Linked DNA regions of Macaca mulatta. The protein of the gene in region 1 purifies or fractionates together with the protein of each later gene. This does not show direct contact. Links are inferred from orthologs where the notes say so. Each region holds a gene or a part of one and is shown in the gene's direction. Other genes may lie near its edges.

Evidence for each region. Proteins that work in one complex are often made in the same cells at the same time.
Region 2: the proteins of KPNA2 (region 1) and POLR3F purify together in Homo sapiens (co-immunoprecipitation; 3 studies listed by BioGRID and IntAct, with this or other methods). This does not show direct contact. The link is inferred for Macaca mulatta from reciprocal best matches to the Homo sapiens genes KPNA2 and POLR3F.
Region 3: the proteins of KPNA2 (region 1) and KIFC1 purify together in Homo sapiens (co-immunoprecipitation; 4 studies listed by BioGRID and IntAct, with this or other methods). This does not show direct contact. The link is inferred for Macaca mulatta from reciprocal best matches to the Homo sapiens genes KPNA2 and KIFC1.
Region 4: the proteins of KPNA2 (region 1) and CHD8 purify together in Homo sapiens (affinity purification with mass spectrometry; 4 studies listed by BioGRID and IntAct, with this or other methods). This does not show direct contact. The link is inferred for Macaca mulatta from reciprocal best matches to the Homo sapiens genes KPNA2 and CHD8.

The regions. Positions count from the first base shown.
Region 1 is NC_133421.1:77,794,122-77,797,642, forward strand, and holds part of KPNA2 (importin subunit alpha-1), read left to right. Parts: intron 1-444; coding exon 445-713; intron 714-965; coding exon 966-1,060; intron 1,061-1,160; coding exon 1,161-1,424; intron 1,425-1,910; coding exon 1,911-2,144; intron 2,145-2,392; coding exon 2,393-2,575; intron 2,576-3,521.
Region 2 is NC_133415.1:65,525,016-65,528,536, reverse strand, and holds part of POLR3F (DNA-directed RNA polymerase III subunit RPC6), read left to right. Parts: intron 1-1,550; coding exon 1,551-1,663; intron 1,664-3,521. UniProt on the Homo sapiens protein: DNA-dependent RNA polymerase catalyzes the transcription of DNA into RNA using the four ribonucleoside triphosphates as substrates.
Region 3 is NC_133409.1:148,872,547-148,876,067, reverse strand, and holds part of KIFC1 (kinesin-like protein KIFC1), read left to right. Parts: intron 1-536; coding exon 537-827; intron 828-932; coding exon 933-1,006; exon of another isoform or gene 1,007-1,037; intron 1,038-1,142; coding exon 1,143-1,218; intron 1,219-3,521. UniProt on the Homo sapiens protein: Minus end-directed microtubule-dependent motor required for bipolar spindle formation. May contribute to movement of early endocytic vesicles. Regulates cilium formation and structure.
Region 4 is NC_133412.1:94,251,756-94,255,276, reverse strand, and holds part of CHD8 (chromodomain-helicase-DNA-binding protein 8), read left to right. Parts: coding exon 1-56; exon of another isoform or gene 57-109; intron 110-453; coding exon 454-570; intron 571-3,521. UniProt on the Homo sapiens protein: ATP-dependent chromatin-remodeling factor, it slides nucleosomes along DNA; nucleosome sliding requires ATP. Acts as a transcription repressor by remodeling chromatin structure and recruiting histone H1 to target genes.

The DNA.
Region 1 (3,521 bases):
GGGAGGTGGAGCTTGCAGTGAGCTGAGATCCGGCCACTGCACTCCAGCCTGGGCAACAGAGCGAGACTCCGTCTCAAAAAGAAAAATGTGCTTAACCACAACTATCAGGGAGAACAAATTCAGTTAACAATGGGAATCTAACCCTGTCAGAACGTCAAAAGTTTTTTTAAAAAGTGACAAGATTTGTAGATTTCTGCAGGGATGGAGAGGAGGGTAATCTACATTAATTTTTGGAAAAATGGTAGTTAATGATACCGCATATATAGCACCATATAGGTAATCTGTTCAGCTTCTCTTAGATTCCAGAATGTCTCAGCATTTAGTGATTTACTTAAAAGGTTGTCTGAAGTTCTAAACTGTTGAATTGCATTTTAAATTGGTTTTTACACAAACTCCTTTTGTTAACCACTTTCAACTTTTATTTCTCTTTTTGTTCCCCTTTAGGAAACTACTTTCTAGAGAAAAACAGCCCCCCATAGACAGCATAATCCGGGCTGGTTTGATTCCAAAATTTGTGTCCTTCTTGGGCAGAACTGATTGTAGTCCCATTCAGTTTGAGTCTGCTTGGGCACTCACTAACATTGCTTCTGGGACATCAGAACAGACCAAGGCTGTGGTAGATGGAGGTGCCATCCCAGCATTCATCTCTCTGTTGGCATCTCCCCATGCTCACATCAGTGAACAAGCCGTCTGGGCTCTAGGAAACATTGCAGGTACTTGGACTTGAAGTTCTTTTGACTGAATGTATCTAAGCGTAATGAGTTCAAAGAAAGGCCTTATAAATAGTAACGACTTCGTCAAGTTTTGAGCTTGCTTTCAAGCCGTTATTAGGAATGAAAGTGTCGTCTTTACAAAGGCAGCAGAGGGGCATCTAAGTACGTTTGGGAGTTTTTGCTGGTGCATCAGTCACTGAACATTGGTGGTGTTGGACAAGATAATAAAATTAATCTTGCTTTTTTTTTCAGGTGACGGCTCAGTGTTCCGAGACTTGGTTATTAAGTATGGTGCAGTTGACCCACTGTTGGCTCTCCTTGCGGTTCCTGATATGTCATCTTTAGCAGTAAGTTACTAACATGAATAAAGTTACTCACTTCTTCATTCTAATTTCCCCCATCTTCTCAAAAGACAGAACCTCTCATTGCCTATTTTTTTCCCCCTAGTGTGGCTACTTACGTAATCTTACCTGGACACTTTCAAATCTTTGCCGCAACAAGAATCCTGCACCCCCAATAGATGCTGTTGAGCAGATTCTTCCTACCTTAGTTCGGCTCCTGCATCATGATGATCCAGAAGTATTAGCAGATACCTGCTGGGCTATTTCCTACCTTACTGACGGTCCGAATGAACGAATTGACATGGTCGTGAAAACAGGAGTTGTGCCCCAACTTGTGAAGCTTCTAGGAGCTTCTGAATTGCCAATTGTGGTAAGTTATTTACTTGTAGATTAGGACATAAGTATAAAAAGCATGATCAGGGCTGGGTATGGTGGCTCACGCCTGTATAATCCCAGCACTTTGGGAGACCAAGGCGGGTGGATCCCCTGAGGTCAGGAGTTAGAGACCAGCCTGGCCAACATGATGAAAGCCCATCTCTACTAAAAATACAAAGAAATTATCTGGATGTGGTGGCACGCGTCTGTAATCCCAACTACTTGGGAGGCTAAGGCAGGAGAATTGCTTGAATCCGGGAGGCAGAGGCTGCAGTGAGTCGAGATCGTGCCATTGCACTCCAGTCTGGGTGACAAGAGCAAGACTCCTGTCTCTCAAAAAAAAAAAGCATTATCAGTTGATACTAATATTGAAATATTACCTATTTCATACCCATGATGGGCCTCTTGTTAAAACTTTTAGGGTACAGAATTTCTGAAGTGCTGGGAAAAAACCAGCATCAACATTTTTTTTTTTTTTCAGACTCCTGCCCTAAGAGCCATAGGGAATATTGTCACTGGTACAGATGAACAGACTCAGGTTGTAATTGATGCAGGAGCGCTCGCTGTCTTTCCCAGCCTGCTCACCAACCCCAAAACTAACATTCAGAAGGAAGCTACATGGACAATGTCAAACATCACAGCTGGCCGTCAGGACCAGATACAGCAAGTTGTGAATCATGGATTAGTCCCATTCCTTGTCAGTGTTCTCTCTAAGGTAATGAAGTCTTAGGATTTAATCAAGTCATTTTTAGTATTTATAGAAAGCTCTGCTTGATAAGCTTCTTCACGTGCAAGAATCTTGGGTTCTACTTGGAGTCCTTTGCTGAAAAATACCCAGTAACCCCTTTCACTTACAGTTGGATAGAACCTTGGTACTTTGAGTCATTGTTTTTGTGAAAAAGTACTCCTGGAAACTTATTCTTGCAACTTTCTGAAATAAAACCATTTCCTTATGTTTAATAGGCAGATTTTAAGACACAAAAGGAAGCTGTATGGGCCGTGACCAACTACACTAGTGGTGGAACAGTTGAGCAGATTGTGTACCTTGTTCACTGTGGCATAATAGAACCGTTGATGAACCTCTTAACTGCAAAAGATACCAAGATTATTCTGGTTATCTTGGATGCCATTTCAAATATCTTTCAGGTAAGACCTATCAAGGTGGCTTTGTTTGAATTTGAACTTGATAATAATCAGTTTACTATTTAGACCTGGGGGAGGGCAACTGTTGTAAGTTTAGTCACTAGTAAGCCACAGATTCAGACAGCCTGTTTAGGTGGGCCACACCTTTGATTAAAAATGTGGCAGGCATTATCAAAGATGAAAGAGATGACAAGTGGATGATGGGACCTGAATCGAAGTCGGGCGTTTATGTGAACTCATCACATCTGTTTACTTACTTGATTTAATGTCCCAATTTCATACTGAATTTTGGTGAAATTAAATTTGAATGACTTGGCCAGTCATGGTGTCTCATGCCTGTATCACAGCACTTTGAGAGTCCAAGGTAGGTGGATCACCTGAGGTCAAGAGTCCGAGACCAGCCTGGCCAACATGGTGAAACCCCGTCTCTGCTAAAAATACAAAAATTAGCCATGTGTGGTGGCAGGCACCTATAATCCCAGCTACTTGGGAGGCTGAGGCAGGAGAATCGCTTGAACCCTGGGCCAGGGGTGGAGGTTGCAGTGAGCCAAGATCATGTCACTTCACTCCAGCCTGGCCGGAAGAGTGAAACTATCTCAGAAAAAAAAAATTTGAATAACTTATATTTTTCTTCTGGTTGTATCCCTAATTGATCCAAGCATACCAGCATATGGCACTTTGTCATAGTGATTGGTGGTAGGTAAGTCCTACTCATCAACTTTAGATTCTAGAGATTTTTACATATAGAAGTTGAGTCTACAGGCTGGGCACAGTGGCTCACACCTGTAATCCCAGCATTTTGGGAGGCTGAGGTGGGCAGAGCACGAGGTCAGGAGTTTGAGACCAGCCTGGCCAACATAGTGAAACCCCGTCTCTACTAAAAATACAAAAAATTAGCCGGGTGTGGTGGCAGGCGCCTGTAATTCCAGCTACTTAGGAGGCTGAGGCA
Region 2 (3,521 bases), on another chromosome or scaffold:
GCTGAGGAAGGGAATAGAACATACAAATATAACATGCATGTGCCTGAAGGACACCCAAGAGTAAGGCCATTGTTGCCTTGAAAGAGACAAGAACTAGAGGGCTATGGCCAGGGATGGAAAAAGACTTCTGAATTCTGAGTCACATGAATGTATTATCTATTCAAAATAAATCACATTTAAGTTTTTTTTAAAAAAATCTGTACCTTCTAGCTATATGACCATGGACAAGTTACTTAAACTTTGTAAGCTTCAGTTTCTTCATCTTACCTATAAATTGTGGATGCTGACACCTCTCGTTTTTGCAAGGACCAAAAGGAAAGCCGGTGTCGTGTAGCAGTGTCTTAATGGATGTCCCTCTGCACTATAGTTCCTCTTCTACCCCCCTTGAAGAACTGTATCTAGATTGCAATCCTCAATTACAATAATTTAGGATCTATTTGAGTCATTGATAGTAGCTTGAAAAATTGAGATGTAATCTGAAATTATATAACTAATTCTTATATTTATTAAAATTAACATTTTTTAAAATAGTCCTATGAGAAGGCCATTCTGCATATTTTTTTAATCTTCCTGTCTCATTATGCCACTACATTGGGAAGAAAATAAAGCAAAATGTTTACATACATTCCCTTTCCATATATAACACTTATTTCCTTCTTTGAAAAAGAAATCATTGCTTCTCACACAGGGCTTTTAGCAGCTATAAGAACCCTAGGCTTCCTTTTTCCATCTCACAAATACAATGTTGTATAAATAATGGATTACGTGCATGCAGACACTCATCTAAAGAGTGTTTTTGTCCCACTTGAGGATGGCAGTTGACCTTGACCCAAATTTAAGTTTGTATTTCACATTTACAATCTAAAATGAAAATATCAGAAAACAGAATTAAGGGTACGGATGATATAAGTTAATTCTGTTGCATCCATGATTCTTCCTTCCATTATAAAAATGTCCTTTTCATAATTTTTGTTTGTTTGTTTTTTGAGACGGAGTCTCGCTCTGTTGCCCAGACTGGAGTGCAATGGCGTGACCTTGGCTCACTGCAACCTCCGCCTCCCGGGTTCAAACAATTCTCGTGCCTCAGCCTCCCAAGTAGCTAGGAGTACAGGTGCACGCCACCAGGCCCCACTAATTATTTTTGCATTTTTAATAGGGACAGAGTTTCACCATGTTGGCCAGGCTGGTCTCAAACTCCTGAGCTCAAGTGATCCACCTGCCTCCGCCTCCCTAATTGCTGGGATTACAGGCATGAGCCACTGTGCCCGGCCCTTTCCATAAAATTTTTAAAAGTGTGCCACACTGGGATTCCAAGAAATTTCTGGTTAGAAATTATAAATCATTATAATAATAATAAATCTTATAAAGCATTAGACTTATTTATTGTTTGGCATACTTTTGCTACTTTAGCCAAGGTTCTTACCTCTAAGTCATTTCATTTTTACCGTTAGCTTTATACTGCTAGCTTTGGAATGAGATACGAGTTAGAGGAATAAAATTAAAAATCCATGAAAACATAGCTCAACTTATTTTACTTTACTTTCTCATAGGAATATGGAGCAGAGATATCCGCTATAAAAGTAATTTGCCATTAACAGAAATCAACAAAATCCTGAAGAATTTGGAAAGTAAAAAGCTTATCAAAGCTGTTAAGTCTGTGGCAGTGAGTAGTCCTTTCCTCAAATATCCACTTACATATGTTGCTTCAAGTTTGAATTCTTGAAGTTATGTCATGATTTAGAACAGCTGGTCCAAAAAGACTTAAAAATTTAGCTCATGTTGGATTGGTTTGGAGATACTGCTTAGACTTGTCCCTACACAGTTGGTTCTTGGTGTCTCACCCACCCAAAGATCTAAAACTACTTTACTGTCTTCAGTGAAGAATCTTTGGAACTGTGAACATTTTTCCTAGATTTTATGGTATATAGGATAATTTACTTTATCCCAACATACTAACTTTCTCATTCAACAAAGAGTATTTTCTGTGTGCCAGACACTGTTCTGAGTGCTTGGGATACATTAATGAACAAGTCGTAGAAAGATTCCTGCCTTGGTGGAGCTTCTCTTCTAGTACACGTGTGTTTTTCCTGCTCCTCATCCTGTCCCACTCTCGCTCCAGAGCTTGCTCCCTCAGGGACATCTGCCCCTAATCTCACTGATTTAGACATCAGAGGAGCTGAGATTCCCCTAGAATAAAGTTTGCTTCAATACACATTTCATAAGAATTAAAGCTATAATTCAAATTTTATAATTTCCAAGCTGTTAAGTCTGTGGCAGTGAGTAGACCTTTCCTCAAATATCCACTTACATATGTTGCTTCAAGTTTTTATTTTTGAATAAAACAAGAATTATAAGAACTGTAACATCAGTTATAAGAATTTGATGCTTATTAGTGATTTTATTTATCAAATATTTATGCTGTACCACTTCTCATTTAGAATAACATTTCCCTTCCACATTGTTTAATGGATAATTTCAAATATATATAAAGGTAGAAAAAATCATATAATAAATCCCTGTGTATCCATCACCTAGCCTCATTTTGCCAGTCTTCCTTCTACATCTTTATGTTTAATAACAGCTTTGCTGAAATATAATTCATCATTCATACCACAGAATTCATTCATCCTTTTAAAGTGTAAAATCTTTGGATTTACAGTCACTGGTTTTTACTATAATCTTAGAGTTGTGCAACTATCACCGCTGTCCTAATTTTAGAACATTTTCGTCACCCCCAAATGTGACCACTAGTATTTATTTCCCAGCCTCTCTTTCCACAGTCTCTAACAACGAATAGTTTATTTTCTGTCTTTATTATAGATTTGCCTATTCTGGACAGTTCCTATGAATGGAATAATAGAATATGTAGTCTTTTATGTATGACTACTTTGACTTAGCGTGATGTTTTCAAGGTTTATCCATATTGTACTTCATTCCTTCTTATTGCCAATTAAAATTCCATTGTACAGATGTATATCACCGTTTGTTCGTTCATCCGTTGCTTAACTTCTGTGTCCTTTTAAGGGTTAAAATAATCTTAGATCTAAGTGTAAAGTGCAAAACTATAAAACTTTTAGAAGAAAACACAGAAAATCTACATGACCTTGGCTTTATTAATGAATTGTTGGACTACAACTCCAATAGTAGTCTATGAAAGAAAATGTTGATAAGTTGGAGTTTATCAAAATTTTTTTGAAAACCTCGGCTTTGCAAGACATTGCTAAGAGAATGAAAGGACAAGTTACATACTAAAAGATATTTGCAAATCACATATTTGATAAAGCACTTGTCTCCCAAATATACAAAGAACTCCCAACATTCAACAATAAGAAAACAACACTTTGGGAGCCCAAGGCAGGTGGATCAGCTGAGGTCAGGAGTTCAAGACCAGCCTGACCAACATGGTGAAACCCTGTCTCTACTAAAAATACAAAATCATCCAGGCGTGGTGGCACGTGTCTGTAATCCCAGCTACTTGGGAGGCTGAGGCAGGAGAATTGCTTGAACCCAGGAGGCAGAGG
Region 3 (3,521 bases), on another chromosome or scaffold:
GGTGCCACAAGATGGAGGTAGAGAGAGAAAGGAGCAGGAGAGAATTGAAGGATGAAGTACAAGTTGTGAGGCTGGGTTACCACATCCCGTTTTGGCCTGTGGGCTGTAGGTAGATCTGCCTTAACCCAGGAGTGGCGAGGGAGTGATGCAGCTGCCGAAATGGGGAGGGTCACTGCATCTCAGGTCTCATCTCCTTGCTCAGCTCATCCTAGCCATGCTGGTCTCCTGGCTATTCCTCAACCAACTAGTCATGCTCCCCATCTCAGGGCCTTTGCCTGGATGCTCCTTTCCTGGAGATCTTACGGCAATGAGGCCATCTTTGGCTATCCTGTCAAAACTTGGTTCCCCACCCCGCCTTTATACACTCCCTATTCTATGTATTCCTTACCATTTTCAGACATACTGTACATCTAATTTTGTTTGTTGACAGGCTAGAAAGCTTCGAGAGAGTGGGGGTGGGATCTTACTTATTTCCATACATATTACTATGTACTGACTTCTGCCTGCCCTTTTGCCCCTTCTGCTCCCATCCCCAGGTGGAGGCCCTGCTTCATCTGGCCCGCCAGAATCGGGCTGTGGCCCGCACAGCCCAGAATGAACGGTCATCACGCAGCCACAGTGTATTCCAGCTACAGATTTCTGGGGAGCACTCCAGCCGAGGCCTGCAGTGTGGGGCCTCCCTCAGTCTTGTGGACCTGGCCGGGAGTGAGCGACTTGACCCTGGCTTAGCCCTCGGCCCCGGGGAGCGGGAACGCCTTCGGGAAACACAGGCCATTAACAGCAGCCTGTCCACGCTGGGGCTAGTTATCATGGCCCTGAGTAACAAGGTGGGAATAGGAGTGGGGGGAGATATGGGACCTGGGGGCCAGTTGGGGTTGGCTGTGCAGAACTCTGCCCATTCCTAAACATCTGTCCCCACCTCAATCATGTAGGAGTCCCATGTGCCTTACCGGAACAGCAAACTGACCTACCTGCTGCAGAACTCTCTGGGTGGTAGTGCTAAGATGTGAGTGAAAGGGACAGATGGAAGGGTTCAGGTAGGAACTGTGTTGGGGTGAGGGGTAGAAAGAGGGGAACAGTGGAGACCTGTCCAGGCTCTGCTGGCCCCTAATGCTGGGACTGGGCATATTCTGTTTTCATAGGCTCATGTTTGTGAACATTTCTCCACTGGAAGAGAACGTCTCCGAGTCCCTCAACTCTTTACGCTTTGCCTCCAAGGTGCGATTACCACCAATCAATCCCAGGCCTTGTCAGGACCCATGGGTGCTTGTAGGTTTCTCCATTCCTATCCCTTCTGTCTTCTAGGGCAGGGAGCACATTTGTCCAGAAAGGTTTTACATTTGCAGGCATCTGAGGCAGTACTCACCATGGTTCCATTTTTAATTATTAGCTTTTTATTTATTTATTTTTTTTTTTGAGGCGGAGTCTCGCTCTGTCGCCCAGGCTGGAGTGCAGTGGCGCGATCTCGGCTCACTGCAAGCTCCGCTTCCCGGGTTCCCGCCATTCTCCTGCCTCAGCCTCCCGAGTAGCTGGGACTACAGGCACCGCCACCACGCCCAGCTAATTTTTTTGTATTTTTAGTGGAGACGGGGTTTCATTGTGTTAGCCAGGATGGTCTCGATCTCCTGACCTCGTGATCCGCCCGTCTCGGCCTCCCAAAGTGCTGGGATTACAGGCTTGAGCCACCGCGCCCGGCCAATTATTAGCTTTTGAGTTAAGTTTTTTAAAAAACAGGTGATTAATTTAACCTGAGAAAGCTGATTGGAAAAAAAAAAAAAGAAAAGGTGACTGACTAAAAGGTCTAAACTGGTTGGGTGCAGTAGCTCACGTCTGTAATCCGAACACTTTGGGAAGCCAAGACAGGAGGATTGCTTGAGCCCACGAGTTTAAAATCAGCCTGGGCAACATAGTGAGACCTGTCTCTACAAAAAACAGGAAAATTAGCTGGGTGTCGTGGCTCACACCTATAGTTCAGCTACTCAGGAGGCTGAGGTGGGAGGATCACCTGAGCCTGGGAGGTAGAGGCTTCAGTGAGCCATGATCCTACCACTGCACTTCAGCCTGGGTGACAGAGCAAGACCTTGTCTCAAAAAACAAAACAACACACAAAATATCCCTAAGATTCCTCCCCATCAGCATACAGAGATCATTCCATTATTTTTAGGTCTGCCTAGGACTCCACTATGTAGTTGCACCAAAATTTATCCACCAGTTCCCTCTACTGGACACTTGGATTGTTTCCACCCTTTTTTAGTTACAAACAAGGCCACGTTGACTAACTTTGTACATACATCATTTTGTATTTTTTCAGTTACATCTAACCAGGGAAATAGTCCTTGAAATGGGATTACTGGATCAAAGGCTTACAGGTTTTTCAGACTGTTCCAAATAGTGTGAATTCAGACTCCAAACTCCATGAGGATCAGCCAGTGGCCATATGAATTCTCACGTATGAGAATTTCTTCCACTAGAATCTCCTCCCACTAGTGTTAAGCAAGTCAGAAAATTTCCTTACTGTCTGCCTCTACGGTAATTTTTTTCTCTGGTTTACCCTCCTCCTGAGCGTATAGCCCTTTAATGGGCTCTGGCTTTATTTGAGGTCTGATCAGGTCTGTCCTGCTGTGCGCTTGGGCCTCCTCCCAATCAGCACTGATTGTTGCTGTAGCCAGCACCTGCACCCTGATCTGGTATTCTAAGTTCAATTTTAGAGGGTGGTGATGTTTTTTCTAATTTTTATTAATGTTATACCAATGTAACATCCAACAACATGAACTTTAATATCCTCTAATACCCAGTTTATGTTAAATTTCACCCAACTGTCTCAGAAGTGTCTTTTATACCTAATAGGTTTGTTCAAATCAGGATCCAGGCAAGGGCCACCCACTTGATTGAAATGTCTCAAGTTCCACAACCCTACCCCACACTGCCACTATTATGTCATTTGTTTGTTGAAGGTCATTTGTCCTATCGAATATACTATTCTGGATTTTGGCTGATTGCTTCCTCTTTCCCCCGTACTTTCACTTATTTATCATATTTGGGTGGTGTTAGCGTGATCTATCCATTTAAAAGCTCCTTACTGACTTTTTCACCTAGTGATTTTACCCATCAGTGACCATACCTGGATCCATTATTTCATTAAGGGGTTTTTAAATGGCGATTTTTCTAATCTTAGTTGTTCTGCATTGGTTAGTCATAATTTTTTTATGAAGACATTTGCCTTGCCATCTACTTGGTTTCTCTGAAATTCAGTTCATACAGGAAAAACAAGATAAATGCTGAATTATTTATTGATTTTCAGTATTGAGTTGATACCCTAGCAGCTTCCAAAGGTGACCAATGAATGTTTATCTGAGGGTTATCTTTATTTTTATTTTTATTTTTTTGAGACAGAGACGCTCTGTTGCCTAGACTGGAATTCAATGGCTCAATCATAGCTCACTGTAGCCACCAAAAGTGTTGGGATTACAGGCGTGAGCCACCCAGCCCAGCCACAGTCGTTCCTCTTTCTGATGCTCAAA
Region 4 (3,521 bases), on another chromosome or scaffold:
TGGAGATGTGGTTACAGGGTCATCCAGAGTTTGCTGTTGATCCCCGATTTCTAGCGGTGAGTGGCAGTCCCATCCAGCAAGATTTAAAGTCATTCCTTCGGTATTTAAGCTGCATGAGAAAGAGAAAGTATGACATACTATATCATCATTTCTGTATCTGCAAGATAAGGGTAATAATTAGTAATACCCAGTCTTCCAACCTCACAGTTGTGATGCCCAAAATAAAATAATGTTGAAGTACCTTAAGTGCTAGGCAAATATTTACTATTGAACTATTATATAAACCACCTAATATTTTTTGGAGAGATCCCACTTAATGACAGTTTTCCACTAGGATTAATCCTTTATCTATATAATAAGCATTTATTATCAAACAAAAGACACTAGTACTTTAATAATTACTCCACAGAAAATTTCTATTCCTGTAGGATAACTGACTTTTTTCTATTGCAGTATATGGAAGATCGCAGAAAACAGAAGTGGCAAAGATGTAAAAAAAATAATAAGGCAGAATTGAACTGTTTGGGAATGGAACCAGTACAGACAGCTAACTCTAGAAATGGGAAAAAGGTGAGAGAAACTGCAGCATTACCACTCTGTTCCCACACTAGATGTGACATTAAAGGCTTTCAATGATGATTGTGACTAATGTTATTTATCTTTTTTCCTATGTATGTTTCTGTGAAAAATTATCTTGCGTTCACCAATAAGGAAACCAGTTTTTTTGTTTTTTGTTTTTGGTTTTGGTTTTGGTTTTGGTTTTGAGACAGAGTCTCACTCTGCTGTCGCCCAGGCTGGAGTGCAGTAGTGCAATCTCGGGTGCAATCTTGGGTTCAAGCATTCTCCTGCGTCAGCCTCCTGAGTAGCTGGGATTACAGGCACCTGCTACTGCGCCTGGCTAATTTTTGTATTTTTAGTAGAGATGGGGTTTCACCATCTTGGCCAGGCTGGTCTTGAACTCCTGACCTCGTGATCCACCCACCTCGGCCTCCCAAAATGTTGGGATTACAGGCTTGAGCCACTGCACCCGGCCTTAAGTTTTCTAATTCTATATATTTTAGAAGTGTTTGGACAGGTCTACTAAGGAAAATAGTCATGAGATTTCCCAATATATAAAAGGTTGAGAATCACTAATAATATGCCAGTAATGGAAAAAGCAGAGGAAACTATGTTTTATAATTTGTAATAATAAATTTGGCCATTAAGTTATTCTGTATTTTCAAATTTACTTATACTTTTATGATGGATAATAGGCCATTTGGTGGATTAAGTACCCATAGTTTCTTCTTTCCACCAGATTACAACTACAAAAGTTTCTCTTGGCTATGCTTACCTTACTTTCTGCAATAGTTGTATTTTTTTTTAATTTTTTATTTTTTTGAGACAGAGTCTTGCCCTGTCACCCAGGCTGGAGTGCAGTGGCACAATCTCAGCTCATGGCAACTTCTGCATCCCCGGTTCAAGTGATTCTCTTGCCTCAGTCTCCCGAGTAGCTGGGACCACTGGTGCATGCTACCATGCCCAGCTAATTTTTGTATTTTTAATAGGAAGAAGGTTTGCCATGTTGGCCAGACTCTTCTCAAACTCCCAACCTCAGGTGATCCACCTGCCTCAGCCTCCCAAAGTACTGGGATTACTGTGCCCGGTCAATAGTAATTTTTTTTTTCTTTGAGACGGAGTCTCGCTCTGTTGCCCAGGCGGAGTGCAATGGACTGATCTCAGCTCACTGTAACCTCCACCTCCCAGGTTCAAGTGATTCTCCTGCCTCAGCCTCCCAAGTAGCTGGGATTACAGGTGTGTGCCACCACGCCCAGCTAATTTTTGTATTTTTAGTAGAGACGGGGTTTCACTATGTTGGTCAGGCTGGTCTCGAACTACTGACCTCGTGATCCGCCTCAGCCTTCCAAAGTGTTGGGATTACAGACGTGAGCCATAGCGCCTGGTCAGTAGTTGTATTTTTAAAGCATACATAAATCATTGTTTGGTAGAGTCATTTAAAATGGATTAGCACTTGCCTTATCTAATCATTCCCCCATTTGATCTTCTACAGAAATCTTTATACACATATAGTCATCCCTCGGTATCTGTGAGGGATTGGTTCCAGGACCCCCCCAGATACCAGAATCCGTGGATGCTGAAGTCCTTTATATATAAAATGGTGTAGGGGCAGGTGTGGCGGCTCTTACCTGTAATCCCAGCACTTTGGGACGCTGAGGCAAGAGGATCACTTGTACCCAGGAGTTCAAGACCAGCCTGGGGACCCCACTGGGACCTTATCTCTACAAAAAATAAAAAAAATTAGCTGGGCCTGGTGGTGCAATCCTGTAGTCTCAGCTATGGGGAAGCTGAGGCAGGAGGATCACTTGAGCCCAGAGGCTGAGGCTGCAGTGAGCCATGATGATGCCACTGCACTCCAGCCTGGGCAATAGAGTGTGAGACCCTGTCTTAAAAATAATAAATAAATAAATAAATAAATAAATAAATAAAAATAAAATCATGTAGTATTTCCATGTAACCTACACACTTCCTCTGATATACTTTAATCTCTTGATTACTTATAATACCTAACACAATATAAATGCTATGTAAATAGTTGTTACACTGTATTGTTTTAAAATTTGTATTATTTTCTCTTTTTCTTTTTTAGTTTTTTGTTGTTTTCAAATATTTTCAATCCACAGATGGTTGAATCCATGGATATGGAAGGCTATGTGCATACACATATATTTATGTGTCTGTATAACCACATGGAATATCTTTTAACAAAATTAATTTTAAAGTAAACTATCAGTATTTTGCATTTAACAAGTTTGAAATGCAAAATATATGTAGATTTATGAGGCTTATTTTTATATTGATGGAAGTGTTACCATGGAAGAATGTTTCAGTTTTCCCTGTTAGCCTCGATGAGAACAAGAGTGCAATAAACAGAATGGTTGACATGGGAAAGGCTGGTGGCTAGAAGGATAATGCCATCTCTGTCTTCAATTTAACATTAGAGAGCAGCCTGTAAGAAGGGCTTTTCCTTCACTGTTACCTATTTTTACCTCAAGTACTTCTGCTACTCCCTTATAGTCAATTGAAACTCTTAAGAAATATCATAGAAAATCACAGAAAATCCTAATATGACTAGTACAGAATTTATTTATTTATTTATTTATTTTTTGAGACAGAGTCTCGTTCTGTTACCCAGGCTGGAGTGCAGTGGCATGATCTCAGCTCACTGCAACCTCCACCTCCTGGGTTTAAGCGATTCTCCTGCCTCAGCCTTCTGAGTAACTGGGATTGCAGCCATGCACCACCACACCCAGCTAATTTTTTTTTGTTTGTTTGTTTGTTTGTTTGTTTGTTTTTGAGACAGAGTTTCACTCTTGTTGCCCAGGCTGGAGTACAATGGCACGATCTCGGCTCACCGCGATCTCTGCCTCCTGGGTTCAAGCGACTTTCCTGCTTCAGCTTCCCCAGTAGCTGGGATTACAGGCATGTGGCACCATACCCAGCTAATTTTTTGTATTTTTAGT